Lepisosteus oculatus: one gene and its partners. The protein of the gene in region 1 interacts with the protein of each later gene in a biochemical or structural test. Links are inferred from orthologs where the notes say so. Each region holds a gene or a part of one and is shown in the gene's direction. Other genes may lie near its edges. The genes, in order: cdk1, rgcc, pbk and runx1.

The links.
Region 2: of the proteins of cdk1 (region 1) and rgcc, one has a biochemical effect on the other in vitro, tested with the Homo sapiens proteins (2 studies listed by BioGRID and IntAct). The link is inferred for Lepisosteus oculatus from reciprocal best matches to the Homo sapiens genes CDK1 and RGCC.
Region 3: the proteins of cdk1 (region 1) and pbk form a complex in vitro, tested with the Homo sapiens proteins (2 studies listed by BioGRID and IntAct, with this or other methods). The link is inferred for Lepisosteus oculatus from reciprocal best matches to the Homo sapiens genes CDK1 and PBK.
Region 4: of the proteins of cdk1 (region 1) and runx1, one has a biochemical effect on the other in vitro, tested with the Homo sapiens proteins (2 studies listed by BioGRID). The link is inferred for Lepisosteus oculatus from reciprocal best matches to the Homo sapiens genes CDK1 and RUNX1.

What each region holds. Positions count from the first base shown.
Region 1 is NC_090699.1:23,136,541-23,144,577, forward strand, and holds the start of cdk1 (cyclin-dependent kinase 1), read left to right. Parts: upstream 1-4,929; 5' UTR 4,930-5,032; exon of another isoform or gene 5,033-5,036; intron 5,037-6,281; 5' UTR 6,282-6,286; coding exon 6,287-6,323; intron 6,324-6,547; coding exon 6,548-6,704; intron 6,705-7,339; coding exon 7,340-7,463; intron 7,464-7,698; coding exon 7,699-7,869; intron 7,870-8,037. UniProt on the Homo sapiens protein: Plays a key role in the control of the eukaryotic cell cycle by modulating the centrosome cycle as well as mitotic onset; promotes G2-M transition via association with multiple interphase cyclins.
Region 2 is NC_090710.1:16,934,487-16,942,381, reverse strand, and holds the start of rgcc (regulator of cell cycle RGCC), read left to right. Parts: upstream 1-4,798; 5' UTR 4,799-5,013; coding exon 5,014-5,047; intron 5,048-5,516; coding exon 5,517-5,693; intron 5,694-7,895. UniProt on the Homo sapiens protein: Modulates the activity of cell cycle-specific kinases. Enhances CDK1 activity. May contribute to the regulation of the cell cycle. May inhibit growth of glioma cells by promoting arrest of mitotic progression at the G2/M transition.
Region 3 is NC_090697.1:56,986,495-56,993,678, reverse strand, and holds the start of pbk (lymphokine-activated killer T-cell-originated protein kinase homolog), read left to right. Parts: upstream 1-4,055; 5' UTR 4,056-4,750; intron 4,751-5,158; 5' UTR 5,159-5,244; intron 5,245-5,361; 5' UTR 5,362-5,383; coding exon 5,384-5,435; intron 5,436-6,467; coding exon 6,468-6,564; intron 6,565-7,184. UniProt on the Homo sapiens protein: Phosphorylates MAP kinase p38. Seems to be active only in mitosis. May also play a role in the activation of lymphoid cells.
Region 4 is NC_090708.1:28,895,558-28,903,540, forward strand, and holds the start of runx1 (runt-related transcription factor 1), read left to right. Parts: upstream 1-4,920; 5' UTR 4,921-4,949; coding exon 4,950-5,004; intron 5,005-5,171; coding exon 5,172-5,348; intron 5,349-7,983.

The sequences.
Region 1 (8,037 bases):
CACTTCTGTGGTCCAAGTTCAATGTAGTTCAGGTGGGGAGCTGCGTCAACATGCGTAGGCTGCAAAGGAACAAGTAATAGGTTTATTAAAGCTCCATGGCTGAAACATTGTGTTTTCTTTCTTCTCTTTTCAGCATGGAATTAAACTATTACTTGTTCCACGTTTAATGTAGTTTACGGATTATTTCTCCTTTTAAGTACCTAATAGTTAATAATACAGGCTATTTCATGAATTATTTTTTCAACCTTGACTTACACATACCATTGAAAAATAAGTTTGCATAATCCAGCACCTTTTAAAACCTTTCAGGCATTTTGCTTTAAAGAAACAAGTGTAAGTTTAACACTGTGGGTTTGTTTCATAACCACTATTTCACATAATTTTAGATAATTCACTATTGACATTTATATTAAGTAACCTCAGGCCACCATATAGAAAATATGACCTGAGGACATCCTTATCCTTAAAGTCAACTGCCCTTGGAGAAAAACCTGGAAAGTAAATTAAATATATAAACAAACCGAATGAGCCAAATCTCCAGGGAGCTTAGTTTTGGATTTTAGCTGACATAAAAGCAAACTCACATCTTACTCCCACCCCTTAAATCAGTCTTTCAATGTACATCTAAAAGACAAAAAAAAAATGTTATTGTAGGTTCCAACAAGGCATCTGATAAAGGAACAGTAAAAAGGAGACTAATGCTATCTGAATGCCACTGCCTTCTTTATTTTGGGAGACAGAGGGTGTGTGTCTAAGCCTACATGAATAAGTACTCCTAGCAAACAGCTCCAGTAAATTCACAGCATCCATCATCTGAAAGAAATGAGATCTTGAAATTAAGTGTTTTTGTGACCACTACTTGGTCTATCTGCAATTTTCTTTTCATATTATTTGTTTTTTGTAAGTCCAACATATCCTGGTTTTTAATCATTACAATAACAGTAAGAGTCACAGTAAGAACAATTTATACTGTGTATAGCAATTGAATGTACACTGAAAACTGCTTTACATGTGTCAATATTTACCGATCAGAGTTAGTATTAAACTACCCACTATTTACACAGATGGGATGGTTTATACAGGTTGTAAGATGAAAGGTTTTATGCAAATACATTTACTATATGGCCTACAAATAATATAGCAAAGGTGCAAATTCCCTTTCCTTTTTATGAATGACACCAAAATGACAAATTCTGGAAACCTGTAGGAAAATTACAAAATGTAAATGTACATTTTGTATAGTCTGTCAGCCTATATTTTGTCAGCATTATCCCAACCCAAAGCTGTTGAACTTTATGCCTAAGTAAAATTCTAATTACACCTTCTACAGAAAGAGCAGAATGGTAGAGGACTCTTGTAAAGCCATTACTCTTATACCGACACAAAAGTTGACAATAGCTGGAATGAAAATGCATCCTGACAGTTTTGTTATAGGTATGTGTAATAACAGATAACCGATATAACATCCTCTGAATACAGCAGTTTCAATTCCACAATTATGGCTATATGTAACAGAAGACAGATTTCAAAGAGGTCTAAGCAGGAGAAGTCAAACTAAAATTCACATAACTTAATTTGTAGACTAATCAATTAGGTCTGAAGTCCAAGGAATGATTTTACTACTGTAAAACAAAATGTGAAGACAGGAATTATCAACTTATTATGAAAATGAAGCAAGCCCATCATGATCCTTCCTGCCTATTGAATAGTTTTACTGCCTTGTTAGCCACAGTGGCTTTCCCCTGTGCAGGAGTTAGAAATTAAAATGGCTGTAGTAATCCATCAATAAATACGTAAGAGCTCCTGTCATGACAATGTGGACTGTAACATAAAAAGACAAGTACAAAAGAGTTTAGAAGATCTTAAAGCATCAATTAACATTTTAAACGAGTTTGTCTTTGAATGAAGTTGCTAAGTCTCAATGACATCTTAATGCCTTCTAACAATATACCTAGAACAGCCTGGATCAGGGATTTTTTCTTGTCTTATGTATGTACAGTCTGAGCCTTGATATTCCTTGAAAAAACTAATGCATTTTTATGGGTGCACTATACTTGCACTGCTTCCCGGCATTTTGCAAGTGGATTCAGCACTTTATAAGGGAAAATGTCCGTCTTAATTGGATACACTACCACTACCATGATGTGGATAAAAAAGTTCTGAAATTATTGGGCAACTGCCATCAACTATGAGGGAAAATGCACACAAGAATTTTTAATTACCTTCAATAGTAAGCATTAACATGTCCATTACCATCACAGAAAAAACTTGAGGCACTACCTCACAATAAAAACAATCTCATTATTGTCATAATGGAAAACTAATGATTACTGAAAAATGGTATTTCATCATGACAACAGTTCAGGCCAGCACCATGCTGAATTAAAACAAGAGCCCATACTTCAGTTTAATAAACCTTTTTTTCTGGTTAAAAGTCAAGAATGCAACAACATGTCAGTTTCCGTGTTTAGTACGATTCCAAAGCTTTAAAAGCTATTGTTTCAAGACACCCAGGACTGTACTTTCCTACTTTGTTTTTGTTTATGCAAAAAAAAAAGATGACTGCCAAAGATGACATTTGGCGCAATTCAATCTCATTAAAATGAAAGCCTTTGCACTTTCCACCTAAAGGATTAATCATTTACTTGCAATAAAACTATATTCAGCTTCAGAGTTCAGTCCAAACACAGGTGGTCTAAAAACATTCCACGTTCACGTTACCAGCGTCGACACCAATCTAATCCTGCTGCTTTACCCGAACCCCAATCAACGGCAACACCCAGAAGTACTGTAACTGTCAGGTATACTGAATTTGTAAGCGTGTCCCCGAAGAACGAAATGTATTACCTGCAGCTAATTGAGCCGTGCAGTCAATGCAATTAAATACCATGCTGTTTAATAATCACAAGGCGTTCTTCTTAAAGACTTCGCACTTCAATAAAGTGTGGACACTTCGACCAACCTGTACACTTACTTATTTAATGACATGTGTTTACAAGTGGGAAACTGCGGGCGAGAATTGATATCAATCCATGTGCCGCAAAACAAGACTAAATCGCGAAGGCTCGGTTGCTTTACACTTCTGAACAAAATGTATCCTCACCTGTGCAGTATCGCTTTCACCACCTCCAATAGGCGTGGAGGCCATGTTGCTGAAGCTTTATCCAGACCGGACAAATTTGAAATCTCGTTTTTTTAAGGGGGTGGTGGCGGTGCAGCAATATTGCTTCCTGCACAGCAAAACCCATAAACCTTTAAAAAGTTGTTTTAACTCGTTGATGAGACGGAGCTTTCGACTGTTCCAAAGCCCCGCACGACCCCCCCTGCGGCGCGCTGTCTCGGAGTCCCACACAGGAAAGTTTTGCTCGCTGCGCAGCCGAGTCACACAGGTAAAGTCCACTTGCTGTGCAACTTGACTAAGGCGGTCTGATCAGAGCCTATTGAGATGGCGACAGTGGCAGTGCCATTAAGGCTACAAACCGCCCGCTGTACTAACTTCACCGCAGACTCGGTTAGGGTGCGGCACCAAGGTTACTGCACTCATAGGCTGAAGACCTCGCCGACTGTTGCTCTTTAGATAATAGAAAACACAGCGATAATACTACTGCAGCGTTCAGAAGCATAAAATGACACCATGATTATATTGAATGATTTTTTTCTGATACTAAGTGTTATTGTATTAAGTGTTTAATGAATAAGTATACATTTATAAAAGCCATGCGGAAATAATTGTATTTAACATTTGATACAATATGCCCTTCCCAATACCACTGTCACAATCTTGCATATAAATGCCCGCACTTTCAACACCTCAATTAAAAACAATGTCAGATTGCATTGTTTTCAACTATTAGCACACTTAACGTCTATATACACCAACTAAGCATGATTTTAGTCTGCAGGTAATTTTAATTAATACAATTTAAATATACCTCTGTCTGTAACCTGACACTTTGGCCAGAAGAGGGTGTCAATATGGTTTTGAATCTGAAAACTACTGTTTACATGAAATAACCGGTAGGGCCCGAGTTGCCTTTTGATAAATCACGGTTCTGTTCCCAGAACAGGGCTGCATTGTGAGATTAAATGGTTATACGAAGAAGGAATGGGCTTCAACGCAACTTGCTGAGCTTTACTTTGAAAAGTCGTTACGGGTTAATTTGCACACAAAAAAGAAACCAAGTTAAAAACCGAAATAAATTTATATTTCTAATGTAATCACCTTTTACTTAGAGCCAACAAGGTGAAATGATAAGATTCCGGTTCAAATTGGAAAACAAATGTTCCGTCTCCAATTTCCATCGCTAACAGAGGAATTTCGTTGCCAAGAATGCAATGAACCCTGCACAAGAGAGAAATGCAAATACTATTAATAATTTAGAGGAAAAAGTACAGTTTGTCAACACATTCACAAGAAGGTTGTGTGCAAAATGTCATTAACTGTGGTTTTCTGTCCTTTAAAGTGTTGTCGCGGCTCTATAACATTTATTCAAACATTATTGATAGCATTTCCATGTTAATTTAAGTAAGCCCTTTAATGATACTAAAAGTTATACTGTATATGAAGCCTAAGAAAATATCCGTCTAAACATACTCGTATCCTTTTTTAATCATTTCCCCAACCACTACATGCAAATAAAAAAGCAATAAAAAATGATTATAGTGTATAGTGAAATGTATCATTAAAAAAATACATGGAGAAGTGAAGGTTTACCTGGAAAGTACCGTGCACAAAAAAACATCTACCACCCGCAAACGATATAAGAAACCAAAAATCCTGGAAACACTGTGTGGTTTCCAACCGGGCCCGCCCGCTGCTTTTTTTTTTGCTCATCCTCTTCCGCCGCGCTTTAAAGTCGTTCTCCCGCCCCTAAGACATCCGCCTCCCGATTGGCTCTTTTGAAAGTAATCGAGCTGCCCGATTGCTTGGATTTGAAAGGCAGCGGCGCGGCTAGTTTGAAAGCCCAAAGCTGCTGTTTTCCCCCGGACTGCTGAGTCCAGTGAGAGCGGCGCAGGAGTTACAGCCTTGGGAGTGAGTGCGTTCTTTACCAACTTTTATTGTACTGTTTATTTGTTTTTCCCTTTATATAATCTTAATGCAGAAGTGTGTGAGGAAGGGGAATTTAAGAAATGGGTTAGCATTAAAAAAACGACCCGATACGATTTCGGGTGATCCCGAAGTGTGAACAATTTAAAATAGTGTGAAACAGTTTTTATATATGCATGCATCTTTGGAGAGCATGGAAGGGCACCGGATTATATTTCTTGAGAGGAGCGGTTCTGTAACTGTCTAGCCGAAGCGCCGATGGTAGGACTAGGCCCAGGCTGTATTTGGTGATAATGTACAGTACACGGGTAACCGGCTCGTTAAAAATGTCATGAGCAGGTTCTGGGTCTGCTTTTTACAGGCCATAATCGATACGTGACAAAGGCAAACTAGACAGAATTGAGAATCATTTGCTATTAATTCTGTCTAGATAAAAACAAAGATGCAGGACCGTGCTAACAGGCGTTGCACACGGTAATTATTAACGGTAATTATTTTTTGTATATAAGATAACGAGCTGTCACCTAGTGTTCGACAGTTTCGCATCGTAGGTTTGGCTTGTTGAATAGTCTTATTAAAGGAATTATTATCGCCTCTTATCGGCAGCGAAAAGGCAGGAACGTGGTTCGTCTCGTTGTGGAAGGGAACATGGTCATGCACACGGACAGGCTAGGTCTGCATGACGCTTCAAGACACGTTTACATTTAAAAATAGTACCTTTACTCTTGTCATGCTATTATTTGCTTGAAATACAGACGTTTCCAACTTCCAATCTCAAAAATGACATTTAGCCAAGTAGTGTAAGTTGTCAGGGCACGACCGGTAAGCCCTTTTTCATATAATCACTGCTGGAGAGCGCCACCTACACAAGCAAACACTTCGGTTTAGCGGCTGTGAAATAGTTTCCAGTGTGACGAATCACAGACGTCAGAGTCTTTGTATTTACAGTCTGGCGTTTTTGTCATCAAAATCCTTTGTATAAGAGGTTTTCAACGCCATTGTTTTGAGATAATACGGTTACCAAATCGCCTAGTGTTATTTTCGGTAACAGTAGCAGCTGGTGAAACCAGTTTCGGTAAAATGTCCTATGTTTTGGAAAGTACAATGAAACTGCGTTTATCAAACGATAGAAAGCGACACTTCTTCACACAGCATAGCAATGTTATAGAACAGACAAACCGGTGAGCGACTTATGTCCAGAGTAAAACGGTGTTCTGTGTATATTTTCTTTCAGGCAAAATGGATGATTATGTGAAGATTGAGAAAATTGGAGAGGGTAAGTGTATGCAGACATTCTGTCCCTGGAAAAACAGGTGCAAGCTCAACCAAAACTGTGCTTTTGGTTTGCAAACTGTAGGAAAAACAGTTTTGTTTTGTATAATGCTATGGTTTTAATGGTCTTGTTCACCATGCTTCTTTCTTCAAGAGGGATGTTTGGGCCTGAAGGCTCACTGGCACTTCCCAAGACACTGAAGTTGTGTGTTTTGTTAATTTGTGCAGGTACCTATGGGGTGGTTTACAAGGGTCGGCACAAGACCACTGGGCAGGTGGTGGCCATGAAAAAGATCAGACTGGAGAGTGAGGAAGAGGGAGTTCCCAGCACAGCTGTCAGGGAGATCTCCCTGCTCAAAGAGCTCCAGCATCCCAACGTGGTTTGGTAAGTTAACGCATGCAGTTGTAAAACAGTTCAAACCAGGTGGTATGGTTCTCTGTACTCTGTTCAAAGTACTCTGCTCAGATTACTGTGGTAAAACATCCAATATTCCAAATTTTAGGCCTCCTGGATAAAAGCTTTAGCTAAGCTATAATCTGGCTGAGACGTCAGTTTGCATTTGGACCCGTTTATAGAGCTGGGCATTTTACTGAAGCAATTGGGTGAAATAACTTGCTTAAGTCTCCAACCACAGCGTCTCATTTTGGATTTGACTCCAAAGCCTACCAGTTAAGACTCCAGTACCCTGAGCAACTGCTGCACACTGTTTAATTAACATTAACACAAGACATTGGAATAGAACACCCTTATTGTACGCATGTACTGTAAGTGGAGTTCTTCAAATTGATTGTGCCCCACATACACACCCTCCTGCTTTGTTTTTTCAGTTGTTACTTAATCAGACCCTTAAGTGTCAGTGATAAGTATCGGAATGTGTACAACCAGGATTCTTGTTTTTCTAATCCTTTCTGTCCATCCTGTATAGTGTTATGCAATATGTTATTAAATCAGTAGTAATGAAATATTGAGAGCTTTTCTGTCCTACTCCGAGAGGATTCACTAGATTTTCGTTTCCCCAGCCTTCTGGATGTCCTCATGCAAGAGTCAAGGCTTTACCTCATCTTTGAGTTTCTTTCAATGGACTTAAAGAAATACCTGGACTCTATACCTTCTGGTCAGTACATGGACGCGATGCTGGTTAAGGTATGGCACAATTCATGGCAGCTTGGAAGGGTAGTCTTAATTAAAAAAAAAACTAGGCAGTAATAGTGTAATCACAGCTCTTTGTGATTTCTTGTGCTTGATTTCAATGTTAGAGGAAGGCACTACTTTGTATGGATCCTTGTTTTTCTAATTGTATGCAGTATGTTTTCATTTGTTCTTTAAAGTTAACATTTTCCAATGTTTTTATAAGTTATTGTTCTTTTGTTTCCACCAGAGCTACCTGTATCAGATTTTGCAAGGAATACTCTTTTGCCACTGTAGAAGAGTCCTTCACAGAGACCTGAAACCTCAGAACTTGTTAATAGACAATAAAGGAGTAATAAAGCTGGCTGATTTTGGGCTTGCCAGAGCCTTTGGGATTCCGGTGCGAGTTTACACTCATGAGGTAAGGGAGAGTGAAGGTTTAACCTTCCTTTCTCTCTGTACCAAAGTCTTATTACAGTAAGTTATGTACGTCATGGAGGTGCTTGCAAGACTGCATTTATTTGATTTGATTCACGGAAACCAGCCTTATCACAGGGAAATTCGCTTTAACTGAACAGTCAAAGGTTAT
Region 2 (7,895 bases), on another chromosome or scaffold:
GAGTGTAACATTTCAAAATTACATTTCACGACCTAATTATTTAGCTGCAGCTGAAAAATAATGATTTTATTAGAAAGTCATCTGCATGTGTAACTTTGTGTGTGCAGAAAATATTTTTAAACCATCACTAGATGTCCTGCGATGCTTTTGTGGTTTTTGTTCCACAGGGCAAGCAAACACTGTTAACCTCTATTATCCTTAAGTAAAGCCATATGAATTTGCACAGCTTTCATGTTAAAAGAAATGTCTAAACAGTATTTAAATATGATTGTGTTTTAAAGGGATCAAAGGTTTGTCTACCAGGGAGGAATTCATGGGTGGTTTCTAAAGCCTTTGAAGTATTGTCAACAGTTGCACGAGTACTTGACAATGTATGAATGCAAAATTTCCTTTTTTGTTGTACGAAGACTGTTACTTAAACAGAACTGTTATTAGAAGCCTTTTGTGCAATCCTCTTGCACAGGTGTCATCTGCGTGCCAGTATCTCAAGCAGGCAATTATGTTGGAGCACAGCAGAGGGGTGTGTGTGTAGGGGTAGCGTTGACAAGTGACAAGGTGGCTTTGGAGTACCTGTTGTGCAACACCTTGTACAACACGGCACGTCTTATGATCAAATTCACAGCGGTTCTGGCACAGTTGGTGCCATCACATGGGTGATAGTAGCCAAAGTGAGGCTGGGGCCGGGTAGGTCTGAGTCAGCCTGCGAATGTTAGCTCTCCTGGGGAACACCTGCTTCAGTGGCTTTGCCAAACTGCTTCAGCCCTGCACTGTTACCTGGGTATCTGCATGAGCTGCATCAGTCCTGCATGCACTGCTAGCTACTTTCAGGAGTGCAGGAGTTCTTTTAGGCAGCAGCTGTCTCACCCTGCAATTCACAACTGACTACCCACTGAAGCTCAGCAGGTGTGAGCCTGGTCAGTACCTGGATGGGAGACCTCCTGGAAAAAACTAAGGTTGCTGCTGGAAGAGGTGTTAGTGGGGCCACTAGGGGGTGCTCACCCCGCAGCCTGTGTGGGTCCTAATGCCCCAGTGTAGTGATGGGGACATTATACTGTAAAAAGGTGCCATCCTTCGGATGATAGAGAAACTGTCCTGGCCTGGGCTTTATCAATCATGGCTGCCTAATAGTCCCCATGTATGACCTGGCTTCATAACTCTGTTCTCCTCCCCACTGAGAGCTGGTGTTTGGTGAGTGTTCTGGCACACTATGGCTGCTGTCGCATCCCCAGGAGGGGTCCCCATTACCTGTAAAACGCTTTGAGTGGAGTGTCCAGAAAAACACTATACAAGTGTAAGGGCTTATTATTACTATTGATAATATTACAGGTAGAGGAGCTGCTCCTTTTATTTCATTCGTATGGGCTGGACTACCCATAACTCGATAGGGGTGTGTATTTATATACAGTACCTGATATATAAATGTATACATTAAAGTGGATGCAAATTATTGTGAAAGATTTGGAGCGCCACAACAATTTCTAGAACCTTCACAGGTCAGACGATCCTTTGTTGCAGCCTTGCAGTGTCAAGCGCAGACTGTTATTGGCTCGCTTCAGTGCCGTTATGCATCACCTTAAACCAAAACCAAGGGCATTGCCGTCTTTCCTCTTTTGTCATTTCGGCGACATCGGGCCGTTTCCAGAGTTCAAACCGGTGAAAGGAACTCGCATCAGGAGAAAGAGCTGTACTTGACAGATTTCCTTCTGTGCCCTTGTAGCTGTTGTCCAGCCTCTGGTTTGCACCACGCAGTCCCCATCATTCCAGCCAGGAGGGAAGAGCTGTTGCTGCTGGCTCTGTCTCCTCATGTCCTGCTTTCTGACACCTCCCGGTCAGCACAAGACAGGTCGGAGAACATCCTTAGTTTACAACCTGCCACGGACACGGTGATGGTGATGATTTCTTAAGCTGGAAGAGGAACTCCTACTTGTGCAGTGTTGGCAGTGAGCCTGTTGGGTCTTCCTGTCAACTTAAAAATTGCAAAAAATATTCTATTTCTTATTTCTGTTCTACAGTTCCATTACAATGGACATGTGAAGCCAGATACAGCTCGTTGCATCAGTACGTGGTACGGTATTATTGGATACTCATGGACTGATCTAGACGGTCTCTAAGACATCACTAAGCTGTTTCTTGGCATCAATGTAACTATTAACTTTCATATTCGCTGGGGTGAAAGTGTATATATGTACTTGTTTAAAAGCAGAGTGCTGTGATACCTCAATAAAAAGTCGAAAGAATTTTCAATTCAGAAGTGGATGTTTTCACACTAGCTGTATACGTACGTTTAATAACTGTGTTAAAAGCCTTTAACCCAGAATTGTTTGTTCCAATTGTTCCAACACCCGTTGGAATTTTTCACATAGGCATGTTTAATGATAATAAACTGATAGAAAATGTGAGTTTCATACACATTTTTTTTATATTCCAGTCCAGAGAATTTTTTCCCACTTTTTTTCCATGCAATTGCAGTAAAAATGGGACATTACTTTATTTTGAATGAGATATACCTAAGAACAAATTCAGCAGTGTACTGTAGACTGTTTAAAATGATAAAACTGAAAAACCCAGAACAACATATGAGCTATGTATGCAAAATATTCTAACTTTGTGTTAACATAAGAATTATAAGAATAGCTCATCATTTATAAAACCAGACATTCTGAAAAAGAATCATCTGTATAGGCAATCTTAGAGGAAAACCTGCTTCTGTCTGCTAAAGATGTGGGACTGGGATGAGAGTTCGGCTCTCAGTGGGACAAAGGCCTATAACCAAAGCTACACTGAAGTGGCCTAATATGAAGAAAGCAAAAATCCTTAAGTGGAACAGGAAAATTTCTGCCCATCAGCGATTCCCAGCCAGCCAGCCTGCCAGAGCTTGAGCAAGTTTGCAAAGAAAAACGGGGGATTTATCCGTAAGAATTTGGCAGCTTTAATTACTGCCAAAGGTGCTTCCACCAGGTATTGACGCAGGGTGTGAGTACTTCTGCAATCGGCATACTTTAGTTTTGATTACTTTTGCGTTTTTTTTCCCTGGAATTTAACTTCTTTCATCCGTGAAGATGTTCAGTTTGCACATTCAAGTTTCATTCAATTTGAAAAAAAAATCTCAACTTTTTTTGTTTCTTTAATCCATGGGACAGATCTGGAAGACTGAATTCTGTTGCAAAGTACGGTTCGCCCTGGAATTTCCCTATATGCAAGATCCATTATACTTGATTTTTTTTCAACTCAGGATCAGTTTGAATGGGCAGGAAATGAACTCTCCAGGTGTCAAATTTAGTGTTCATCAAAAGATATAGATGCTATTATAGCATTCTGGATTTAGTGTGGAAGAATTGTTTAAAAAAAATGCGTAATAGGACTATTCAGTTGTGGTTCTCTTAACAGCGTTCAATTAAGAATGTGGTGTATTATTTGGTGCAAATGGGTCCAGGAAAATAAGATTTCTTACTGAAATAACTGATCGCTGTGTTGCGTTCCTTTGGATTAGGTTGGAAAGGGTGAGGCGGGCAGAAGACTGTGTTGGAAAGAGAGTCACAGAGGAGAGCGTGTGAACTGAATCAGCATAGTTCCTCCATCCCAAGTGTTACCTTTAGCACTTTATAAAAAAAAACCATGTGTGGCAAGTCTAACATAGTCATTAATAAAGTCAACAGAAAAGTGCAGCTGTAAACACATTTCTCGTCCCTTCCATCTGCTCAGCTGTTAGAAAAGACACCGAAGGTGTGAATATTCCCTGAGGTGTGACGGATTCTTCCATCTTTGAAGAAACACTTCGACCATGCCATGATGGCTTGTGTGCTGGGAAACAGTGAAAGAACTGCCAGGGGTTTCAGAAGCTGGTCATCTGTGGTTCTATATCAAGTCTGAGCCATTAAGCCATTAATCTAATCACGAATCTAGTGAAAGAAGTTATTGGTCCATATGGCGCTGTTTTGGGATGGTACATTGTTTAGCAGGGACTGCAATTCTTTACGGAACCGCCAGGTGGTTCCCTACACTGCACAAATATGTAGACTCACAAATTTGGTTACTTACGGAACATATATTTACCACAAAAGGGCATGCCGTGAAATCACTTATGTAATAATTTATTTCCATGTCGTTAGTAATCATAAACGGAAGCCTTTCAGCTGCTCATCCATGAAAGTATTTCGGAATGCAACTTTAATGCGTCGTAAAATGCGTTTAATAAATTGTAACTGTTAACAAAATATGAACTTGCTAGATGTTTTATGTATGATTGCAAATAAATGTGTTTTCCTTGTCGCAGCTTTTCTTTACCAGTGGGAAGGCGAAGTCGGAAAACAAAAACACTGAGAAAAAGATCTCCTTCATTCGCAGGAGGAGGGTAATTCGTGAATCAATAGATATGTAATTAACTCCCTCCAGGGAACTGTCCACAGACCTAAATACTACGTTTTATAGAACTCCTTTAAAACTAATATCATTTTCAGTCATGCTGTTTTCATTTAATCTATAATTATTTCGTATATGCATTTTAGTTTTAAGTGGCACGGCATTATGTAAATAATTTCTGCCCTTCATTATGTTTAAAATGAACCTGAAACTTGCTGAACATTGGATTTTGGAGCTTAGGCAACTACATCTGCGTTAACGGGAAGAAAAGGCAAACTCTTAACTAATTCGGTCGTGCCAGCGTGCCTACTAACGTGTGCCAGTAACTGTGTTTATAAACAAACATCGCTTCTGGGAATTAAGCCAACGTGCAACCTCTGAACGTTAGATGGTACTGGATAATGTTCCTTCAGTACCTTCGGTACCAGTTCCTCTGAAGGCAGTGTACGGCGGCAGTCCCGACCTCCACCTCCTGAGAGCCCAGTCACCGCCCCCCACCGGGACTGGAGAGCATTTAAAGGAGTGTGGCGCACAATCAGTTGTGGGATTTAGCAGGTCTACAGCAGTGGGCATCAGAAGAACTGATCAGAAGTAGTTATCCAGGATAACTCATTTCCTGCATTGGATATATCCAAAGGATAACACATTCGGATAATGAAATCTCCCAAAATGAAATCGCAGAGCAAATGTAAGTTTTATGAATTGACGTTAATGTACGCGTTTTCAGTCGACAATGTAGACAAGTTTTGGATGGAAACCTAAAGTGTTTAGTGCGTTGTTCTTGAAGGGGATATCGTTTATTTTATTACGGGATTCATAACTGCAAGTCTTTTTGTTTGGGTGGCTCGGTTCTGGAGAGCTTGTAAAATTATTTAAATCTCACCTTTTGATTTTAGCTTAAACTAAAAATGCTGTGAAGCTTTTGGATGGTTTATGGTGTGTGAAGGTAGGAATTAAATGATGAAAAGTTCAAGCTGATTTTCAGGCAAACTTGGACCCTATTACGTACTTTAATGTAGATCGTTAGATGTTTTTGAAAGCATATGAAGCTTTAACTGCCTGGGAAGTCACAAATCATGTCACTATATTTGCAGTGCTTCGTCTGCTCTTGTGAAAAACGATGATCAATAACCACATGCGACTATTCTTTTTCCTAGCGCATTTTCTTGAAGATGATGATGATCTTAATGCAGTTCTCTGTGAATTTGACGCTGTTATTGAAGATTTTTCGTCTCCTATGGGCAAGAGGCACTTTAGATACGATGAGCATTTAAAAACCATGAAGAGGAGGAGTAGCGCCAGCGTCAGCGATAGTGGCATCAGTGATTCAGAAAGTAAGTTTGGATCTTGTTTCATATTTTGTGTAAAAGATGAGTGGGTTTGTACTGTAATGCCTAATGATGCCATTTTACATAACGGCATTCAAATAATCCAACTGTTATTATAACTACACTGTGACATTTGAAGTCATCTGTCAAAAGGACTAAGTTGTTAGTTGCATTTAGCAAACCACTAGATATCGATGATTACCGCACTATAAAATAACTCAGGTGGGTAGCTGCGTCAGCATGCGTAGGCTGCAAAGGAACAAGTAATAGGTTTATTCCATGCTGAAAAAAAGAAGAAAGAGAACACAACGTTTCGGCCGTGGAGCCTTCTTCAGGTGTGAGCTGTGTGTTCTCTTTCTTCTTTTTTTCAGCATGGAATAAACCTATTACTTGTTCCTATAAAATAACTGTGGTTAATATCAAATTTCACATGCGTAAACAGTTTCGTAATCGGGAAGAACAGTGACGTCTGATACACGTGCCGATGCACGATATCGGTGGAAAGACGAAATAATTACACAAGAAAAATAATTACAAGAAACCTAAAGTATACCTCCCTCAACACAAAGTTTTACAAGCACCCATAAAGCATTATTTTAATATACGCGTTTAAAGAAGGTCGATACTCTTCTGCGTGAACACCTGCTGACACACTATCTGCGCGTCTATTTGTTCTGGGATAGCATGCGATAAACCTCCAAGTGAAAGCACTCAAGTCACTAATACAGTACGTCTTGAGTATTAGTGTATATTAAATCTATTAAATTCCGTTCTTGACAAAATGCTAAGAGTACATCATGAACCGCTTTGCATTGTAATATAGCAGACCACATATAAGATACATGTTACGCTTTGTTACAAACATGTACACACCCATTTGTGCTTCAGTTCAAACACTTATCCAACCACACCGCCACCCATAGGAATAGATTAATTTTAGACGAACTTTTTTTTCTTAGCGTAGCTGTAAATATCTCATTCATTCTGTTGCTCGTAACGTCCATACTGTCGTATATTGTGGAATACAAGAGTAGCTTTATCCTTTTGCAGCAGAAGACCATTGTCTACAAAAAATGAGGAAATTTTTGTTGCAGAGTTATGCAGGCAAATTAGTGCAATTAATAACTCTTCAAAGTTTACATGCAGACCAAGTAGAATGATAACACTCAGCACAATTGTGCCCCTATTGACAGAGTCTGTTTAATTTGACGTAGAACGTGTTCGCGTTATTCCATTGAATGTGTCAGTAATAAGCAATTTAATAAAAAAAAACTTTGATTCCCCTTCATTTGCAGGATTAAGAGCCTATTCGAAATGTTTTGCTTAGAAGGTATAAGTGCTATATTGTTTACAACTGTATAGGACCATGTGATTATTTAAATGTAGTTACAAATTCTTGTCCTCGCTTTGAGATGCGGGTGTGCAGTTGAAAATGTACCTAGAAATTCTGCTGCTGAACAGTAGCAAAGATAGCATGTAAATCATCATCTTTAGAGAAGGCTGGCAAAACCAACCCCTTTGGGAAGACAGGGCAGGGGATTTGTTTCAGTTTTGTTTTGAATGTTGTCTTTCCAAAGGCTTCAACAGATAATCTTTTAGCGACGATGGGCAGTCCATCTCGCTATCAAAACTGAGCTCACGCTGCCATGTATCTGAGTGAGTTCACATGACAGAGCACTCATTGAAACTGGGAAGACGCTGAGCGGTCACTTCCAGTGTTAGCCACTGTCAGGTGCACAGACAGCCCTTATGCAGAGCCTTCTAACTGCTGGATTAACAGAAGGGATCCTTCGCAGTTTGAGGTGATAGCAGAAATACTTGCAGTAAAATCAGGATTTGTGCAGATACATCCTGAGGCAATGAACTATTATTCATATTATGCAGCCAGGAGTAACAATATGAGAAGAAATGAATGGACTGAGCCGACAGAGTACAATATCCCCAACTGTAAACAGCATTTCTGTCACACTTGTGCACAAGCTTGTACAAAGAGAGGGATTTTGAAGAAGCTTTCAGGAATTTTCTTTAGAAATGCTATTGGCATAAATGGACTCATTCGTTGCTCTCCGTGGTGTTATGGGAAAACACATTAAACTAGTCCCAGAAGCTAAGATCTAATTACAAGCTCTTTTCTGTTCCCTGCATACATTTCTCTACACATCTACACAGTGCACACAGATGACAAGGAGCTACAAGCAGGCATCCTGT
Region 3 (7,184 bases), on another chromosome or scaffold:
TGATATACAGTATGTGAGTTTCATCTTCTTCTTTACCCTCTCCCTGTGTTTGTGTTGTCAGCCTAACATATAGAAAGTGAAGGCACTTACTCTTTGTGCTGTACTATACAGTATGTGCAACATACTTTTTAAATACGCACGCATATTTCACAGTAAGAGTGTTATGTATGCCCTTCCTAAATGCTCATTTTCACAACCTGAAAAAATGCAAATAGCACAACAAAATCAGATCACAAAATCTGAGTTTCATTAAATATCAGAACAAGTCATGAGTTAAACAAACATAAGTTAAAAAAGTATGGTTTCTGAATTGCACCGTTATGTTTTTGACTGTGGTGTTTTACTAATGTACTCAGATAATTGTTAGTGACTAACTTGTGCCTGTTTGGGAAAATGAAATAAGAAATGTTGATCCATAGGGAGTTTGTTGGGGATTGTCTGAAAAGTGCAGAGGGGGATTTCCAGAAATCAGCATAATGTGAGCTGCTTGTTAGAGATAACCAGCCGGTACTGTGCAGACATATTGATCAAAACTGTCTGAATAAATGCCTGAGTTGTCATGTTATCCTCCTGGAGAGAGAATCCACTAGATGCCAGAGACTCTGGGGCTTCCAGATAAGGTTGATATTAATGTCAAAGCTGGTACTTTAGGTGTATAGCTGCTATCTTGTTGAGCAATATAGTTATACTGTATACACTAGTTGAGCAAACTGGCCAGGGAATCACTGTGATCAGATCCTGACAAAAGGCAGCAATAGCACAGACTATACATCTGTATAGGTCTATTCCACTGTTCTGCTCTTTTCATTCAATAATTTTCTTTTTAGGTACTGTAGGAAATAATTTAATCAATATTGTTTTACTGTAAGTTGACTATTATTATTATTATTATTATTATTATTATTATTATTATTATTATTATTATTATTATTATTATTATTCCTGACAACAGTTGACAAGTGAATGGAGAAGCCACCCACCATTACTGTGAAGATCTCAGGTTTTTTTTACATCAGCCCACCAGTGAAATTTCTCTCTTTCACTATTTCACTATATAGCTTCAGGGAATTTGATGTCAACCACAGTTTGATGCCATGTGGACAAGAATAAGTGACGGAGGCAAAATATCAGAGTGGGAAGATGTTTTACGATAAATCTGAGCATCATCTGCATAACAATGAAACTGAAGACAAATAATAAAATGCAATGATCCCAACACTAAACCCTGTATGAATGGATGGAAATAAAAAACTGAAATTCTTCTTTACAAAGCTGTTCAAGCTCTATCAAGTTTTTCTTGCACTGATGGACAGCAGTCTTCAAATCATGCCAGTGCAGGGTTGGCTGTGTGCTTTAAGTCATGTTGACAGATGAACATCTATCCCAGTTTCAGCTATTTTGCCGGAGGCAACAGGTTTTCCTCAAGGACTTTTCTGTAGTTTGCTCAATTTGTTTTCCCATTTTTCCTGACAAGTTTCACAGACCCTACCGATAAGAAATGCCCCCATAACATGATGCTCCTACCACCATGCTTCACAGTAGGGATGGTGCTCATGGGTTGGATGTTGTGTTGGGTTAGTGCAAAATGTCCCACTTTGATTTACAAATAAAAATAAAAGTCCTATTTTATTTAATAAAACCCAAAACTTTTTTACCACATGGCTAAGTAAGTTAAATGGGATTCAAGGTGAGTTTTTCTGAGTGATGGCTTCCTTCTTGCCAACCTGACATTTAGGCCAAAATTGTGGAGATGTTGGGATATTGTTGTCACATACACACTTTGTTCACTTTGAGCCACAGTCTTGAGCATAAAGGACTGTAGCTCTTTGAAAGTTGTCTTTGGCCTATAGGTATCCTCTAATCATCCTCCTCGTTTCTTGACCTTCCAGCTGAAATTACAATTGGAAGCTTGTCACAAAATGTCTCTTATTGCATATGAAGTCTAGGAGACAAATCTGGTTATGTACAGTGTTTCATTCCTGCAGTTACTTTCAGGTGTGGTTCAGACAGCACAGTCACATCAATAGTTGGTTGACAAGCTGTCAGGATTTCAGAGATCATCCCAACTGTGTGTGCTAGAACTTTTAAATCAGTTCACCACAGGTGGTCGTAGTCATCATGTGTATGGTCACCTTGTGTGACAGATTATGATTCATTGGTAGATATCTCTGGTTCTGTCAAAAGATATATGACAGATGATCTCTAGCCAGGATTCATGGCGGTGCGGTGGCTCTGTAGCTAAGGGTCTGCACCCGTGGCTGGAAGGGTGCCGGTTTGTATCCCACGGCTGGCAGATAAATCTTACTCTGTTGTGCCCCTGAGCAAGGCCCTTAACCCCAACTGCTCCAGGGGTGCTGTATAAATGGCTGACCCTGTGCTCTGACCCCAAGCTTCTCTCCCTGTCTGTGTGTCTCATGGAGACCAAGTTGGGGTATGCAAAAATACAAATTCCTAATACAAGAAATTGTATGGCCAATAAAGTGATCTTATCTCAGATATACAGATATACATACCTCTTGAAACTGACCTGTATGTGTCACAATGTTCATGGCCTACTTAAAAAATAATGAGAATTTATGAAAAATACATTGTTTACATTTCTCATCCACACTATAAACTACACAGCATGTTACCTTATCTTTTGGTATGCAAAGTGGCCTGCCTTTTCTCAACTATTTTGTTTGGGCCTTCACCAGCATCCTCAGTCGCTTTTACTGATCCCTTCTAGGAAAAACGGAGAGGACTCTTTCCTGTTCTTTTTTCATCACACATCAAACTCTCTTTCACTATCTTCTCACAAACTCTTTTACTCTAGGCAATGGGGTATTTATTCTGATTCTCTGACACCCAGATATCTTTCTCTTATACTGTTTCATCACTAGGCTTAGACGTACTCTGCCTTAACCAGTGCTCTTTCTTTTCACAAACATTTTTTCAACACTAAACTCAAATCTTCTCTCTGCCACTTTTAAAATTTTCCACACTCTTGGTGTTTCTTTACCTCTCACTCTTCTCTTCGCTACTCTTCTCCTGACTGATCCTGTTTTCTTATATCCTCTAGAATCTGGCATCTCTGACAGTAGCAGCTGGTCTGTCTGCAGTTCTTAGGACACGAGGTTGTACTTGTGACTGAACTTCTTTTGTCCAAACTGCTTCTCTTTTGACTGTGATAAGAAGCTACATTGCTGCCTTGCCAGGTAGTATCCCACTCCTCTAGAAACCAATACCGGCAGGTCAGAGCTTGAGTCCCACACGCCTATTAGCCAGTCTAATCCATTTCATGCTAGAAACCCTAGCATTGGCCTCTCTTTTTCAGCTTGCGCTGGGCAAATGCTATCTTCTGCAATACAAAACATTTTCTTACTACGACGTATAAGGTACCTGACTTGTGGCTTCTGACTTCAAGACAATGATACACTGTAATATTCTTTGAAACCCGGAGTTTGTAATTTGCTTTAGCAATGGTAATTGAGGAAAAAGAATATTGGTTGAGTGCAATTAATCCTGTGTTTTTATTCTTGTAGTCGAGTTGAAGGTAGTTACATGCAATGACAATTACTGTTGTACTCATAAAACAGTAACTACTTTTGCCCACCAGTTAAGAATTACTGCGCAAGTGTTCAGAAATGGTAGAAAATCATGTTAAAATATTTTGATACCTAGACGAGTGCTGCCCTCTTTTGGTGAAAATGACTATTATTACTTAGATGTGAGGAAGAACAAGCTTTTATAAATCTATATAGACATTTTAGACAAAAGACCTCTTTTAACTCCTGTAAAAAGCGCCCTGAACCTGACTTTATTACATATTGTTTTTTAGTGTTGAGTGTTTCCTGCACCGTCTACTTTTGGAAAATCCGGTCTAAATTTGTTGCTATTCTTTAATCACTCTAAACTTCTTTGCACAATAAAAACACTTCTTTTTTTTCTCGTTGTACACTGCCTGTGAACATTTTGCATTTTTTTATTGCTTCACAATGGTTACGCAAGATAAAGATTACGTAAAGAAGTTTTGGACAAAAGATATTTTGAGGAAATTTGATTTAGGTACATTATCAAAAGTCGTAAAACAGCATTGAGCATCTGGATAAGCCTCAAAAGCGCAAAAATATGTTTTTATTTTTCTAGCATGGAACTTTTTTTGCTAATCTGTGCCTCTCACGTTAATTCCGCTCTAAACTTGGACTTTTACACTAAATTTGAAACGTTTAAGAGCAACCTTTTTTATTTTTTCCAAGGGAAATATATATTTTTTCTGTTTGAAAAATCAATCATTGTCTATCTTGGATTTTTATCATACAATGGACTCTCCGGGGTCAAATCTGAAGTTTCTTACGTACTGCTGCAGTATCATCCTCAGTTTGTCTTTTGCGTGTCTTACTTTATAGATGTCATTCTTTTTGACTCAGATTTTTCATGTTTATTAGCACATTAGTGGATTGCAGGAGTGTCATTAGCAGTTCGTACCTCACTCTGTTTTAGGACTGGAAACCTGAAATGACTTCCTTCGCACTGCTCCAACTGCCAGAGAATCATTCTCTTATTTTTGGAATAGACTGCAGGAAGAAGACACACAACAAACCGAAATTGAAAAAAGCAAACCGTCGAGTGAAAAGTGAAACAATTTCATTTTCACATCAAGCCACGCTGTGTTTGTCCTTGTTCAGCCGCCGTTTGGTGCCCATGTGATACAAACTAAAGATTTGAAAGTAGGCGCGCCAGAATATTTTGTAGACAAAGGAAGATCTTGGTAAGTGGGATTGACTTGTGTTTTTATATAAATACGTGAAAGGAGCAACATAATAGCATTCAAACCTGTAATAATATAAAGTAATGACAAATATTTCTGTTGTGAAGAAAACAGTTATTTTTGCTATCGTATCCAATGTGATTGAAGTTCTTTATTAGCTTGCGTTTTTATAAACGAAACTGTATGGATCACTTTATTCACTTGTACTTTTCTGAATCGAGACAAAAAATAAACTTACTTTCAACAGATTTCAATTAACAATTCTAACAATAACAAGCCCGAACGATGTAAGACTCGGCTATAAAATCGGCTCTGTGCAGTAACTGCATTGATCTTTCACTGTGTTTTCTGCGAATGTGACGAAACTGAATGTGTATAATAAATTTCCGTAATCTTTCTGTTTTCCAGTCCATTGGAGAATGTTATTGTGAACAACAAGTTTTTTTTGACTGAATCAAAATTCAGTACAAAGATTACCCTCCTGTTAAATACAAGTAAGGCCAGCCCCGAAATCGAAACTTTCTATTTGGCGGTTAGATTGTGACAGTATAATGTGTAATTATAGTGTAATTTTTCCAAAAAGTACAAATATTTTCTTGTTTTATCCCCAGCGGCACTGTAATTCCAAACGGCATGGAGGCGGCAAACACATTTGTGACCCCTGGCAAAAAAAAGTTTATGCCTGGTAGGTATGATTCAATATTTTGACAAATTCCAGGAGCAACTGCATCAGTGGTTTTAAATGTGTATTACATTTTACGTAATGAAGAGACGTCCAACAGATGCTATTGTTTTTCTGAATCCTTTAGGGGTTTACATCAACAGCACGACCTTGTTTTGTTTAGTTTTTTTTGGATCAAATGTCTTTACTGGCAGCATACTAGGTGCCTACCAAGCTACTGGAAAGAATATACTAGTAAAAATGCCATCCCCATGTATTTTGCTGCTTGTTACGTTTATTTGCTTACAGTACATATAAAAAAAAAACAATTAGAGACAGGGCTACCATTAGTTCTTTTACAAGACTAGACCTAACTCAGCTGTAACCTAGATCAATACACAAACACACAAAAGAGCAATGAAGTGATAAGCATGCACAAAAGTAAATTAGTCCCTCCAATCACATATATAACAAAGACCCAACTCTGCTAATGGAAATTGTAGCAACTGGTAAATATATTTGTATACAAAAGGTCTTTGGATTAGCTGATGGCAAACAGGAACAACAGAAAAAAAAGTTCAGTTTAGTAGAGTTGTGATACATTTCAGTGCATCTATTTCATTCTATAATTTAAAAAATAAAGGAAATGTAATTGACAAGCTGAAATTGACCCAAACAGTGTAATCATTAAATCATTAAGACTAAAAAGGGGATATTTTTAGGTATCTTTTAAATGCAGACATTTTGGCATTACTTAATCACTGTTCTCTGTGCTTTGTTTCTTCTCAGGATATGTAACTATTACCCAGATGTGAAGAACTTAGGTTCTGTGACCTGAGACTTCTCTAGTGAATTCTCTAGTGAATTTCATCACCCTTATTACTAATTAATTGCCCTTATTACTTCAAAAAGAAAATAATGCTGTAAGGTAGATATTTGTTACATAAAGTACAGGAGGAAGAAAGGCAGAATGACTTTTTTTGTTGTTGTTGTTGTTGTTGTTGTTGTTGTTGTTGTTGTTGTTGTTGTTGTTGTTTGGTTTTCTTTTTGGAACAGATGGATCCCCTAGGGCTAGAAATATAACAATCCCTGCATCTCCTTTCATGAAAAAACTTGGATGTGGAACTGGGGTGAATGTATATCTTATGAAAAGGTTTGTAGATGTGTGCAATGAGGTGAAATGAATAGGTACTGTAGTTCCCATTTACAGATGGTGTTGAAACTTCAATTTATTAATGTGAAGCTCTGCTAGATAGGATTTCAGATTATGTTCCCCTTGCAGAGGGACTAGGTCAGAGGGACCTTGTTAGAAATAAAATTGTATTAAGGTATCAACAGGTATAGCAGATGTTTATTTTAGTGCTAAACAACAAGAGAACTGTTGTTAGTTTATTATTATTAGGGTTTTCTGTTATTAGTCTATAAGTAAAATGTCAATTTCAACTGAATTTGATACTTTTTTGAGTGATCTCCACATGATTACAAAACATTAAGACCTTCAACACTGCAGTTGTGTTTTTTAAGCCATGTATATGTTGCATACTGTTTAACATTTATCTGCAGATCTTGTTTAATTACTGGCTAAACAAAAGCACACAGATAAAAATGAACTGGATGTTAACTAAAGGAAGAAATACAATTTAAACATGTTTGGAAACAAGGTGTTAAAATGTGTCATCTCCTTCCAATGACAAGTTTAAACTATCAGTTGTTCATTCAAGACAAGGTAAAGAGCAACTCAATGTTGTAGTTTTCATTAAGAAATAAAGTTAA
Region 4 (7,983 bases), on another chromosome or scaffold:
ACTTTCAGCCCTGCATCATACCTTTTTTCATCAGGACTGGCTTTATCCAATTGCCTATTACAGAGATGAAACAGCACAGACTTGGAAAGGATTCACATACAAATTGTTCTTTGGCTCCAGAGTCAATTCAATTCCAAGGCAAGAAGGTATAAAAACCTGGGTATAGGTTAGCGGAAGGAAATTACATCTCCTGGATTAAACACTCCACCCTTGGCACTCTTGGAGAAGGGGTGATGTAACTAACTTAATTTGAATTGAACCAATAAAACTGTCTTTGACCAAAAAAAAAAGTTTTTGAGCAGGCTCAAGTGTTCAGCTGTTGAAAGCCCCAGACAGCTGTCCTACCCCAATGCTCACACCCTGTCATCCTGTCGAGAGATCAGTGCTGCTCTCACAGCCCTCCTCCACTGGGACTCCAGTCTGTCTCGCTGGCCATCCGGAAATTGCAGCTGACAGCAGACTCTTTTTAGTCTTTAAAGGTCAAAAGTACAAACTGTTGCATTTTCAAAAATACATTATCACTGTATTCATGAAGACTATGCCTTTCTCATAGGAAAGTGAGAGGTCAATTCGTGAAACAAAAACTTATCATAATTGAATATAATATACTGTACTTAGTGTCCATGCCTTTTTATTCTGAAATTTGGAAGCAAAGGTGAAAATCTAGCAATCGTTTGATAACAAGGTTCCACAAATTCCAACTGAGAACAGAACACTTAGGCCTCATTCTCTGCATTGTTTAAAAGCTGTTAAAGATAAAAGTTTTTATCTAGTATCTGTGCACACTGCTGCAGGCTCAGGGGAGAGTTATGATTTGTATGTGCCATTCTCTTTCTTCACAAGACACCTTGAGGGATTTTTAGAAATAGATATTTGATTATTTGTAGATCTTCAGAAATTGAGTGCTAAGCATCAACTAAAATCAAGGAACAAGGAAACTGTGTGGTAAGTAAAGAATATTGTTGCAGGCCACGTGAAATAGAATAGGATCAGAAAGAATATTTTAAGACAACATCTACAACCTCATGTAAAACATACATCACAGATGTACAGCTTGTATTGCTTCCATACACTAATATCCTGTGAATCACAGTTGGCTCCTGTTTATCAGCCCTGTTCTCATAGACAAATGGTAACATTATCTATATCATGTCTATTCAATAAAATGTCAATGCACCTGCTATAAAAAGACTCAATCATTTTCTTAATGTATTTTTGAATTTTTTGAAACAGTTAGAAATGTTTGTTGATGCTTCATATAGTGACATATATTATAATTTATTTACACACTCTGGGAATCCATATTTCATTAATTCTTTGACAACAAAAGGACCTCCTGCCACCATTTTCTTGGGGCCAACTCCTCTTTTGTTGGTGAAGATTCCTAGTCCTTTGCTTTGAGTTAGCTTTACAAATCACCTTTCAACCTCATAATTGGATAGGGCCTTCTTGTGTCCTCTTTCTGGCAAGAATCAATTCCACACCTTGAGCATATTGATGATTAATGGTACGGTAGATATTGTGTCTACGATCTTGCAATTTTCTTATAGCCATTACTATTGCTGAGTTGTGTGGATCAAAATTATCTTTCAGTTCTTCGACTTTCCACTAGATAACAAATGGTATTGACTGGATTACATCTGTGTACAGCCTTCTTAAGTATCCCATGACTTAAGAAGGTGAATCAAGGTGAATTTGAAAGAATTAATTAATATACTTCATGAGATTTTGTAAAACTATCATATGATCAAAATATGGAAGAATTACATCTGGAACATTTAGGTTTTACATGTTTGGAAGTTCTGAATACACTTGAACAGTGTGTTTTTACATGTCATTATTCAACAGATATTTGCTACCATTTGTGAATTCAAAGTTTTGATCTTTATCTTTCAAGTACCCTATTTTGAATACCTTATCAGATACTATTGTGAGGATGTCAATCAATAACAATGATATTTATCAACGTACACCTTATCTGGACCCATTAAGGACCTGCAAAGTGTTGCTGGTACCCCTGGTATAAGTCGTCATGAAAGAGTGAACATGTTTCATTAGATTATCTAAGCATTAAAATGGAGCCTAGTTTCCAGCCTAGTAAAAATGTTTTTTGCCTTTTCTTTCGTCTGATCCTTGAATTGCATACATTGGATCAATCTATAGCATCTCTAACCTGTTGTGGGAGTGCTGAGTGCTCTGTTGTTATAAGGTGTATTAGCCTGTTAATCCCTAAAGCCTCTCTGCAGCAGGCATCTCCAATAGATCATGTGGCCTTAATATGACTGGTGCGACCCAAGTCTGCAGCTGCCAGCTATACTCCAGCCTGGCAGGTGGGTGTGAGTATCACAGCCCTGCAGGCGAGAGATCTTGGAAGCTCAAACCCTGTGTGTTTGAAGGAGCTGGGTCATACAGCTGTCCTCTTACCTTGTGCCCCTCTGCCAATTAACGTACCCGGTGATTAGGGAGGTTGGAAGGAAGGGGGGCATGCAGGTGTAGAGACAACGCGCCATTCCTGCATGGAGTAAACGAGCTGATTTTTCACAGACAGGCCGCAGGCAGGCCTTGGTAATCATGGCATTAGCAGGCACGATTGACACTACACACCTGAGCAGTTCGTCACCACTATTATTCTTGTACAGCAGGTGAGCAGCCCTGCAATTATACCCCCTCCACCCCTCCACACACTGCTATACACATATGAAAGATCACTGTGCACCGCATGGTTAATTATACTGCAGGTCCCCCCAGCCGTCAACACCTACACACACATCCCCTCTCTTGTCTGATCATCCTTATTAACAACCCCCTCCTGCCTCCTCCCTTACAGTTCACAGACACACGACTGGGTCTGCAGGCGCTGCTGCTCACACACACAGTCACAATTACCCAAACAATGGCCTGGGCGGGCCTGCCACCTCAGATTGGAGCCGCCATGAACAGCACACTTGCCAGGTGAGGAGAGGAAGGGAGAGTAAGGGGGACCTCCTATATTTCCACGCCATTATGGCAACTGTCTCCATGAGAAATTAAATAAGTCGAAAGCACAGCTAAAACCATCTTCTAACTGAAAAGCGTAAAAGCCAGAAGGACAAGGCAAACGTTCCATTGCTGGCTGGAAGAATAAGCACAGGGAAACAGGACATCATTACTGGCCTTATAAAATACTTCACTGTCAGTAAACAATCCCTTCTATGGACAGTAAAATGCATGGTTCACATGATTTATCACTCTCCTTTCCAGCTGGCTCACTGGCCTTACTTATTCATCAGTCAGTGAACATCCACAGGTAACTCTCAGTCTACCACAGTCTCAGTATATTAGGCCACAGACCTCGAAAGAAAGGGAAAACATCTCCATCAGCTCACTCTCTTATATCATGCTAAACAAAATGCTTCTGTCCAAAGTTTCCATTTCAGCTTTTAAACCCTCCTATTAAAGTAAGTCATATGTTTAAGAGTTTTATTGCAGCTATGGCTGCTAAACTGAAGAGAAAGTATAAAAAGGAAGAATGTCTTCCCAGCGCGGAGGGCAGAAAAAGTCAGAGCACACTTTGAGTGTGGGAGACCCTCAAGGTGGTCACCTACATACCCTGTTCACGCACTTGCTTAACCAAGACAGTTGAGTACAGTTTGGTCTTCATGCCTGGTTTATCAGTATCATAAAACTGTATTACTTGGAATTTGGGGCATTTATCTTGAAATAAATAAATGTACTGGCCAGTTGACTTGGACAGTAGGAAGGAAGAAGAGTGGTACTCTTGCAGCAAAGAGGAAATGCCATTATTAATATTAAGTACTATGTTGATGGCTTTATAAGCTAGAATTGTAGGAAATTGTTCCAATACCAGGGTAAGGACATTTGCGAGGGAACTGAACTTTGATGGAGCCAAGTCTCACTTCAGATTGAGAACTGGCAGCAGAACTCTTCTACTGATTGATCAACACTCTGCAGGGAGTGGAAAAAGAATCCACCTCGTAAACGAGACAAAATATGGTCTTCACATTCCCATGTCTTCAGAGTTTATTTATCAGCCCAAATAAAATGCAAAATTACCTGAAACTAACATGGAGAAATCAATGCAAGGGAAAAGTCTCACCCAGTTGGTCACCCAGAACTCCTCAGAGGAAACTGAATCCAAAAATTTAAATTATTGTTTAGTGCAACTCTATAGCAGTCTGGATGCCTCTGAAGGACACCTGAAGTGGAGAAGAGGATAGGGTAATAGCAGAGTGATAGGGATGTTGGTATCCTCATAAACTCCCTTCACAGGTGGCTGGTACACAGCACAGAGCTTTGGAAAACTGATGACTTCGGAGTCTACTTTCCCTCTCAGAACACTATCAGATTATACCTAGATATGAAAAGTTGACATGTAAATTTTCACTGGACTCTTCACCAGGATCACTGAGAGACACACAGGGCTAATTGTATCTCCTCCTGGAGTGCGATTTGCATAGCTAGTCACTGTGCGAGTGAGTCATTTTTTGTTCTGTCTCTCAGTACAAACTCAAGCCACTGTTATTTCCTCACTGAACTAAAGGGGAGGGCAGGTGGAGTGGGAAAGGCAAAGCCACGATACCAGATTAAAAAAAAGAAATCCTGTACATCACCATATCACGTGACAGGCCCTACCCAATTGGCTGAGGTTTTCGGAAAGGAACAGTTAAATTTGTAATTGGGGTTATGTGAAGCTGTCTGTGGGCCACCACACAACCACAAACCCAGGCTGGGAGCAGTCACGGCAGTGCAAGAGAGAGAGAAAGAAAAAGAAAGAGAGAGGGGGAGGAGGGGGGAGTGGTGTGCTCGTTGATCTCAGTGCGAATCACCCGGATTGCTGAAACCACAACGACTTTTTTGCTCAAGTGCTGTTGTCTTTTGCGCAAGGGTAAGCATCAGTAAACCGCAGCCTGTCCACCACCTTCCACCGCCCTGTCTATAGTGCAAGGGGAATGCCATCCCAAAGCCCTATGGGGGTCTCTTTTCTGGAGAAGCGGCAAGTTAAATGTAGGTGTCCAGTGTGTTGTAAGACTGGGATGGTGAGGAGTGTGGGGGGAGGATGCATAGAGGTGAACAGAATTTGGTTGTGGTTGAGTGGATGTTGGTCAGACGATGAGTGCAGAAAATGTGTTTCGTTTAATTCTTGAACATTATTTTTTTATTTCCCTTTGCAGACCAAGGAGAGCTCAGAGTGGATTTAAAAACAAAGGCACTCACTGGCTTCAGAAAAGCGACAGCGGTTCTCTTTTTGCGAGCACAAGCGTGCAGGCTGTCACTTTGTTGCAAGGAAGCCATGGCCTCCAACAGCATCTTTGAGTCATTTCCTTCATACCAGTCATGCTTCGTGAGGGGTGAGTGTTGGGGGCGTGCAGACCTCAGACAGCATTCATGCAGACTGGGGTGTTGGCAAAGGGGGTTCAGTCTGGGCAAAGGGTCTGTGTAGGGGAGTGCATTGGAAAGCAGGGCTGCAGATTTATTTATTTATATGTGCTGGGTCCTGTGGCTGGAGTCTTCTGAAATCCTGTGGCTGATTGACTCTTGTGGAAACCACAGCTTTGTGGGTATGTGGGTAGGAGCTCTTTCTAACCTCCATCCAAACTAGAGCAGGCTGAGAGCTGCATTGGCAAAGTCTGACTGCCCTGTCTGGGGCAGGGCTCAGCCTGCCAGACTGGTGACCTTCCACCAAACTTTGTCAGCAAAGCTTCAGGGGAAATCACTAAAGCAGTCCTAGGAAATTTCAGTGTCTGGTTTTGTCTCTGGGTCCAGCTCATTGCAGGTCTGATTGAGGAATTGTCTAATAAAATAATTAAATACTCTTGTTTTTTTATGTTGATATGACAGTCCTGAACACGAAGTCATTAGACTCATTTGTTTTTCGTTTTAGTCTTTACTACAGTTTTCACGGGAACAGGGTTGTGGAAGTTCAATCATAGTACTAGAAGAATGAATTACAGAGTATGTGTTGTGGCACCTTGGTCTGATCCCTGGTACTAATGCACATTGTGTAGTAAACTTGAAGAATCAACCATTATTTTGCTTTCAAAGCATATGAGCTTCTGCTGTGTGCTGCAAACAGTAGAACAGGGATTCTTACGGGGGACCACAAAGGAACATTGAGGAGCATTAGAGACTGTTTCTAAGAAAATTAGGTCTACACAGCTCTATTCCACAGAATTGCAAGGTATGCATGTTTCTGCAAAAAAAAAATTCATGTTCATCTGCATTTCAAGGGAGTATCTTCCTCTCTCATTTCCTGGCTAAGGTGTGCTCTATCTGCCTCCCTGGAAGCAGTTTTGTAAATTGTTGGGGCTGTGCTGCTGCCTCAGATGCATCTTTATACAAATGTCTTTTCATGAGAATCGAGAATAATCTAGATTGACACTGGACTGAAATTTGGAATTATTCATATTTAGAACAATTGAAATGGAATTTCTCCTGAAGAAACAAAAACACGTGTGCAAAATTAAATTCCCAAGTTGTAGACCGATAGAAAAATTACCACAATGTGCCAGCTGTGTGAGATTGATATGACTGTGGTTTGCTAGTTTGAAAATGTAATAAATAGGCATGCAACACTGTTAGAGAGAAGGAAGAGGGGTAAGAAAAACAAACCAGAGTTAAATTCAGCTATGTGATTATATTTTCCTAGAAGAGAGTCTTACCCGTTCTCAGGATTAGAAAAAAAGTCACGTTTCCACTTATTTGAAGACTGATGGTCAATTTATTTCTAGTTCTAGTACAGAATGAGGGACCAGGGAAGTCCCGATGAAAAGTATCTTTGCTTCTGGATCGCAATTGCTGGTGTCCCTCACACCCCAAAAGACCTCTGTTTTCAAGGTCTGAATATAGGATTTTCTTTTACCCTGAGAGAAAGGGTAAGTAAAATTATGTCCAAGTCATTTGTTACAACATACCTTACAATAATTAACTTAATTTGCAGTGGAGTGGAGCTGTTTATCTCCAGTTCATAGTCTATGTTTACAGTTAGTTAAAACCCCACTATCATACCCAGTGGAAAAATGAAGTACAAATGTAAACATCCACTGTAACAAATGCACAAATAATAATAATAATTCTCACACCTGAAAATGGCCCCACGGCCGAAACGTTGTGTTTTCTTTCTTCTTTTTTTCAGCATGGAATAAACCTATTACTTGTTCCTTTGCAGCCTACGCATGCCGATGCAGCTACCCACCTGAACTAATAATAATTCTTATTCTTATTAAAGAAATGCACAGTAAAACATGCGGAAGACACGTTTTAATACAAAAATCTGAAAATGCGCATCAAGGAAACTATTCAAGTTGTCTCGTACACCTCTGAATTGCTTGGTCTCTCTATTTAAAAAACAAAAACAAAACAAAGCTAACAGCCTTGCACAGTCAGCATTTTTGAATATTTTGCAGTTTGGGAGCACAGGGCTTCTCCAAGTTCTGCATTTGTGTATTATACCAAATACTCATACCTACGGTACCTAGAGTACCTTCTACCCACCCTACCTATGCTAACACTGTTGTTCATTGCTTCAGAGTCACCTTTCATCTGAATTGTAGCAGACTTTGTATTTCTCTATAGAAAAAGTTAAAAGACAAGTACATGTTCAAACACTTCAGTGTTTACACTTTTTTTTTATTCTAGCTTGTTTATTTCACACTTTTAACTGTGTTTTGCACAGGAAATTAATCAAGCTGTTCAGAGGCTGTTGAGGAAAACCAAAATTGACTTACAGAGATCTTACAGAAGACACAATGTGTGCTTTAACACAAAGCATCAGCACACCATTTTTGCTCCTGAGCTTAATTTATACATCGTTTTTTGGTGTCAAATGCATAATTAAAGGTGCCCACTCTGCAAGTGTGGAAAATGAAGGTAAAAAATATTATGCAGTTTGTGAATCTCAGCTACGTTTAATATGGAAAACGTGGAATAAACTGCATGCTGGAGTTGGGAAAAGGCTTGTAAAGATTCTTAGCATTTGTTGTTTGG